Arabidopsis thaliana: one gene and its partner. The protein of the gene in region 2 interacts with the protein of the main gene of each other region in a pairwise test. Each region holds a gene or a part of one and is shown on either strand. Other genes may lie near its edges.

What was found.
Region 1: the proteins of AT4G37850 (region 2) and NF-YC13 interact in a two-hybrid assay, tested with the Arabidopsis thaliana proteins (one large-scale study listed by BioGRID).

Annotation. Positions count from the first base shown.
Region 1 is NC_003076.8:17,355,322-17,358,600, forward strand, and holds NF-YC13 (nuclear factor Y, subunit C13), read right to left. Parts: upstream 1,386-3,279; 5' UTR 1,246-1,385; coding exon 853-1,245; 3' UTR 524-852; downstream 1-523. Other genes in the region: AT5G43260 (chaperone protein dnaJ-like protein), read right to left, coding at 2,372-2,665.
Region 2 is NC_003075.7:17,795,503-17,799,933, forward strand, and holds AT4G37850 (basic helix-loop-helix (bHLH) DNA-binding superfamily protein), read right to left. Parts: upstream 2,400-4,431; 5' UTR 2,359-2,399; intron 2,203-2,358; exon of another isoform or gene 2,165-2,202; 5' UTR 2,146-2,164; coding exon 2,110-2,145; intron 2,003-2,109; coding exon 1,499-2,002; intron 1,401-1,498; coding exon 1,029-1,400; intron 935-1,028; coding exon 860-934; 3' UTR 570-859; downstream 1-569.

The DNA of each region.
Region 1 (3,279 bases), on a different chromosome or scaffold from region 2:
TATAACGGTTCAAGTTCTCATAATAACTAAACGGAATATTAAAGAAAGTGGATGTTCCATTGGATTCAATCAATTTGATATGTCAACATAATCACTTTTTTCTTTCACAATTCCGAGAACATAATAAGAGCTTTTGGACACTCAAGTCATCATTGAATACCACTAGACTTGGTCTGAAACCATAAAAGCAAATAAAGAACATATACCAAATCCACACTACAAAGCAGATGATATAAGATGAAGTTTGAGAGGAGTTATTGAGAAATGTAACCATGGATAGTGATCTTGAGAAATATCACACTTTCTTGTTAAAAGTTTCAGACTTTACCCATCAGACTGGTTCACTTCTACTCTAGAAAACTTGTCAGAATGAAAAACTAAAGAAAACTGAAACATACATTCCGCAAAAGCTTTCATTTTGCTCGGTCACAACCGCGCTTATTAGCTCACAATCAAAGAAAGTATAACATACTATTGTAACGGCGACAACTTCTATAGCCATGTTCTTTCAGAAGAACATAAACACTCAAAAGTAGTATTCATATAAGAATAGCTTAGAAGAACAATACACATCCCAAACCTCTCTCTCTCTCTCTCTCAATCTCTACACACCAAAGTTAGAGCAATGCAGAGATTTCTAAGCAACACAATGAGATGTATCTCACAGTCACAGGACAAGAATCAGTTTCTCCAATTAGTAGAAATGCTAATAGACACAACATCTTTAAAATTACCAATTCCTATAAAAGTTCCTCATGATCCATACATTCTCACTACACTTTTAGCAAAACAAGATTTTGATTTGAGAACAGAGTAAAATTTGCAATTGTGAACAAAATGAGAAATTTTACTTTAGGCTGAATCAGTCTTTGCTTTCCCTTTACTGAAGAAATCATCGATACGACGAGTCCCAATTGGCGGCGCCGGAATCTTCTTGTCGGAAACCGATTTGGTATGTTTGACAGGCTGAGCCGGCAACGGAAGCGAGTCTAAGAGGAAATCACTAGTAGGTTGGTGTCTTTTCACGGCGATTCTTAAATGATCGAGATTAACAGTCTTACGCTTCTTCTCCGCCGTAACAACAGCAGATTTCTCGGCGAGGAAGTGGAGGAAGAGTTCGGTGGAGTAAGTGATGACGTGAAGAGCTTCTGAGTTGATTTTGTTGATGTCTTTGTCCAGTTTCATTATCTTCTTTACTCTTCCGATTGGAAACTCTGGTCGGATTGATCCTTCTTCTTCCTCCATGGATTTTGATTTTGATTCTGTTGAGAAAATCTGATTAAGGTAATGAATTGTATATGTTCGACATTTTTAGGGTTTTGAGATTTACGCGCTCTGTCACGGCGGGAAAATGAAAATGAGCAATGAGAAAACATGTAAACCGGATTAACCAAAACAGCCCGAACGAAGATTTTGCTAATTCGGGTTTTCAGCTTAAACCGATTGGTGAGATTGAGAAGAACGTTTGGTAACCCGGTATGGTTCGTAGATTTTTATGTTGTAGAGATTGTTTCTACATGAGTCACTGTCTAGCTCAAACTAGTACTAGTAGTCTATTTTAAAGTTTTATATTGAAAATTTTAACCGATTCTTTCTTTTACTTGGATCACATTGTACAAGGAATTCTAGAAAGCTACAAGTTGGTACAAATCTCCTAGCTACCTGAATTGAACCCCATTGATCCTTCACGAACGCAACGGATTTAAGGAGTGGCATATCGAACTAGAAATGCCATCAAATAACAAATGAGCTTTAGAGATAGTTCCAAGTGTGGATAATGATTTGAGATTATACTTCTATATGGCTGTAGGAAGCCTTTTTTTGGCTCCGAGATGTTTCTAATCTTGAGACTTGAGAGACCATCTACTACAATTGTAGCTGTTTAATTTGTTATAACTAATCCGTTTCCTCTTTACTATTCGCAGCTTTTCACAAAATTCACACACAACACTCCTTCCTCTACAACGTTTTGAGGTTGTAGACATGAACCAATTTCATACCATTGGAACAAGAGGCTGTTGAAACATCTCATGGTCACATATTGAGTACTAGACATGAACCAAACACATCCAACAAAGTCCATTTACAACAATATACAAGAAGAAGCTAACTTTTCGTATCATTGGATCAAACCCATCATCTTAATTCTTAATAGTTAATACTAAAGATTTGAGCCACCAATAATGACAAATTCGAATATTTTGACTATGAACAGTAACAAAACAACCCAACACAAGAAAAAATATCACAGAAGCTATCAAATCTGTTTCTCATCTATGTGTATATATATATAATCAACTTACAAGACAGAGAGTGAGAGAGTTCAAGAGAGAAGAATCGTTTACAAAGTATACAAATTTCTTGAGAATCATCAATAAGGACGATTCGGTGGCTGAACCGTAATCTGAGCCGGTAAAGGTCTACCAGTTCCAGAACCACCACAATTGCTACAAGCCGCACGACCTGAACCAGAACACCTACGACATCCAACGTCACCATCGGACCATCGAGAACAGAAACACGTGACTCGTCCAGTACCGTTACAAGTCGGACAACGAGGGAATTGACCAGCCATAGGCTTTTGGTCCATGACTGATTTGATAAAGACCGCACCGGCTAAAACGCTGATTCCTGTAGCTAACTGGGTTATGACGATCGGACTCATTGTTGGTTTCAATAAGAGAGAGAGGTTTGGTTTTGGTTGCCAATTTTGGGGATAACGCAAAAGTAGAATCGTGAAGAAATTGAAGAAGAGAGACGTCTCGAGGAAAAAATAAAAGTTTTTTTTTTTTTTGTGTTCAGACAAAAGTGTGGTCTTGTTTTAATTTGATACGGTTCGGTTTATTTTTGAAGTAAATACAATTTTGGGAGATAAGGGAATGGTTGAGAAAGTAAACACGTGGGCTAGTGAGGGTTAAGTTGTTGTGTGAGGAGATGAATGAAACAGCCGTGTTTTTTTTGGATACTCCAGTTTTTGGATTTGGGTTTTTATTGGGCTGTGTGTGTAAAATATCTTCTACAAGTGTACAACCTTCAGATTTTTCTTTTTTTTCTTTTTTTTTTTCGTCAGATTTTTCTTTTTTTTAGATTATCATTGATTTATCTGACTGCTTGCTTTTTTTTTTTTGTCATCAAAGAAGCAAGCAACTAATTTTTCTACTAAAAAAAATCAAAATTTTATTTATAGTAATTGAGGCCACAAGCTTGTGTTTGACCCGCTTGTACTTATGGACGGCTCTGTATTTTACCTAATAGATTTGAATGGTAACCATTTTAATA
Region 2 (4,431 bases):
TTGCAATAATATGTAATATATATATTATATATACACGATTCAGACGTTTTGCACCTGGATATAGTGTTTGTATATATGCATATGTACACATATTATCTATTGTTTTGTGAAATGTGAAACCATAATTGTTCATTTTTCGCATTGCGGATATAATATTTTTATTATAGCTGAAAGAAAGAGAAGGATAGTTATCCACTTTCCGAATCCACGATTTGTCCAACTTTGTTAGTATCCTATGATTATCCTTGTTGTTCTCTAACACGGAAGGAAAGACTTGGTCGTCATGCCGCATTCCTTGCCTTGATTATCCAAGTGATAATTTTTTTTTTTATTATGATTTTCTGAATCTAGAATGTCTTGGACTGGGTACTTTGTTGTATTTGACAGTGCTAATTTACCATATGTTACTTTGAATTCAAATTACTCTTACTCATAATGACAGTAATCAATCAAATTCAATATAAATTGCTCTAAATTTTTGTGCACCAATAACTTGCTCTAACTCCTCCCAAAAAATTATTACTACAAACTTTAGTGATTTGGTATAAGATTGAACAGACTTACAAAATATAAACCATATAATACAAATACATAAACGGAAGTGCTTTACATCTTTGGAAACAGCAATATAATACATAAAGGGGGAAAGAACCAAATAGAGAAAAAAAGAGAAGTGAATTTTCAACTAATTTAATCTTATTTATATATAGAATTATAGATAATTAACAGATAAGAAAACCTCCAATCAAACTTATAAAAAAAAAAAAACATTTTCATGGCAAACCACTTATGTTTCGTCCATGTGTTCAACAAGATCTCCCACAGTAGAAATTGACGAGAAGCATGAAAGTTAATACAATCATATGAAATTCGACAAAGCAGACCTTAAGCTCTTTACAACATCCATGAGTGTCATGTCGAAATCACTCTCCTTCTGAAAAATAAACATCAAGCGATGTTACTCTAAAATTAAGAACAAGTTCTTCATTTATATGTATAAGTGTATGCCTGAATATACATTTGCATACCTTAGCTATAATGGTGATATCAAGAGTTGGTCCAAAATTCAATACACTTGAATTAGTTATCAAGATATGAAGTTTCTCAATCTCGGCCATAATCTTGGCAAGATGACCCTTTTGCTTCTCGCAAAGGATCTTGATTAGAACATCTTCATCCGAGAATCTTACCTCGATCTCGGGAAGATCCAAGTCCGAGAAGCCATCTTCACAAGAAGAAGAGAATGATTGATTATTATCGTCCAAGATCAGCTTAGACTTCTTCACAAGAACCATTGATTCCAATCTTCTTTCTTTCTTCTGTTCCTCCAACTCTCCCACTCTTTCTTGGAGATACTTTATATGCTTTAATGCATCTCCCAACACAGAAGCCTTGTCCATCTATGCACGCAATTAGAAAAAAATTACACCTATAGATTCAAAAACATGTATTTTTTTGAAAAAGGTAATCAAGAAGGAAGATCTGATGGTATGTATACCTTTTTAAGGCCAGGAACTAGAGCGGAAAGAGCTACGAATCTTTGAGTAAGCTTCTCTCTACGTTTTCTTTCGGCTATTATGTGATCCTGAGCATTGGATTGGTTTCTTGAAAACGGTTGAGCCCTCTTGGTCCCTTTTCGATTAAACTCATCACTCTTCTGGTGTGGTTGCACTTGAGCCTCTAATTTTGGGCTAAAGATTGAGTTTAGGTAGGTGGGAGAGTACTCGTGTTCCATATCATTTGAACCATAATCTTCGAAAGAGAGAATTCTTGAGGAAGAATGACGGTGAATATGATGGGGCTTTGAATTTGGAGGAAGATGAGAAGAAGGTGATATGTAAGTTGTCTCAAGGATCTTTGGTGGTTTCATTTCGATCAAATCATCATAAGAGGGATCATTGTTGGTCGTGAAAGAGTGTGGAAAAATGTATTGAGCTTCTTGGACCTCTCCCACTATTGAGTTCATGTGAAACTGTTGAATTATGCTATTTTCTTCTATTTCCTAAAATATAACATCACACCCAAAAGAAAAAAGAACAAAAAACAATGAAAAACAGTCCCAGATGACAACATATATACATGAGTGTATGTGTTTATGCGCATATATACCTGCTCAGAAAACCATCTTGTGGATAAGATACTCATTGCTGTTGCCTCTGAAAATCTGAAAATGGTAAAAAGAATATTAGTGTATGATTTATAAACAAGAAACTGTATTTAACCAAGAAAAAAGATAAATTAGCAGATCATCTTGGGTTTCAAATACAAGATTTGACGTATAGTAAAAACCCAAGATCAAGAAACATTTAGTAAGGGTTGAGATTTATGTTTTTTGAATCACAAAGAAATAAAACTCACCAGCTTCTAGGAGAAGAGAGAGAGAGAAGAGAGATTTGTGTGTGAAAACAGTGGAATGCACATGCATATATGTACATGTATATATAGAGATGGACACACATATGAAGTAATTTGCACGTGTGAAAGGCAATACTACTCAACTTTCACACTAAAAATATTCCTTTTTTCTCACAGCATTTGGGTGTCAAAACTAATTAATTATATTATAGATTGTTTTATATTTGTCAAATTTCACAGGTTGTTCAAAGTTACTCATTGACGTATACAGTATTTTGAGGTCCTATTTGAATGAATATAAAAATGTTGCGGGCCGGAGACAAAAAGGGTATTCGTCTATTGAATATATCAGGTTTTTGAGTTTATATTATTAAGTGTATTTTTAGGGTTTCTTCTTAGAAACAAAAAAAATCGCCTCAATTTTTATTTTGTTTTGATATATGTTTACTCATCTTGTTTCCCTTGGTTTTATTTTTAAAAAAATATTAGTTTCTCCATAAATACATTTTTCAAAATGCATCCAAATTTGACATGAATTTATGTATCAGGTGTGGTATGCGAATATGAAACCAATTAAAAATCAAAACTGTTCAAAAAAATATTTTCTAACATCATATAAAAATATTAAACCTTATGACGCGCATCAAAATGTTGTTGGCCAATTGTAAAAACATTTGTATATAGAAAGCTTGTATTCAAATTCTGCTATTATTACTGAGTAATAAACTTATATATATAGTCAAGTAATTTATACTAAAGTGTCCTTCACTCACTATCTGAATATGTATGTTGTTGAAGAACCAATAAAAGGAAAGCATTCATGATTAATTTTCATAAATTTCTTATGATAAGCGAACTTATGATAAGCAAAAATAGACAGAAGATGACAGGAAACTTTCCATAATCAAATTGTGGGTCCAATTGAATATAATCTAATACATATTCCCATTAGTTTTATACTTTTCTCTTGTAAACTAAAAATGTGACACCAACCAAAGATCTCGCTACGATTTTATGGTATATTATATGGTATTGGTTACGACATTAATTATTTCCACGAATTTTCTTTTTTTCAAGAAAATTGTAAATTCAACAATAAAAAAAAGATTAAAGTATGATTTGAATTTAACCATTGGCGTTCTCTTCTAAAAGCTCTCATCTTTTATACACAGTTTGATTAAATGTGTGAATCACCATGACTGTCAAAGACGTTCGATTATGAACAAACAAAATCACAAAAGTTTATATTTTATTCAATCAGAATATTCAAACATTATACTACAAGTGATCGACACTAAGATAATTTTTACTTTCCTGGAACTCATGTGTCTTGTGTCTTGTGCAAACGTGCTACTCTTAATATATAATCGATTAGGTAAAAATAATCAATCAAACATGAAACTCTTTTATGTAAAGTTGATATTTTAAGTCAAGTATTTGTCGGAATTGTTGAACTTCATAGAAATGGTAAGCTAGGTAAACAAAATATACTTGGGATATTATAATCTAAGTACTAAAATAGAAATAAAAGCCAGTTCACTTACAACTAGATCTCTCCCTCTTTTCCTCCATTACTACGCCCCATGACAGAAGCATCTTGGCGCCTGCAAACCAAATTCAGTGTTTTACAAATCTCCATAAAAATTTAATACTAAATCCCTCGAATTTTATATTTTTATATAGTATTTCATTTCTCAAGATCTAAATACTAAATTAACTATAATATTATCATGAGTATATTTTACTCTATAGTATAAAATGTGATAGAGTATATATACAGTACATTGTACACATTTACAAATAGACGATTATTTTGTTTCTATCTTTTTCTTCTTTCTCTTTCACTCTCTCTCTCAAGAGTTTGTTACAGAAGATTGAAGATTCCTGATATGGTATCAAAGCATCTAAATATTTAACAGTTTTCTGGATCTATATCACTATATTACTATATCACATCACCAAGACAGTACATCCCATGAAATATAAGCATCTTGGCTCTTGCAAACAAAATTTAGTGTATTTTTTTTACTTCTGCATAAAAAAAAAAATCTGATAAGTTGGCGTCAAAAATAAAAA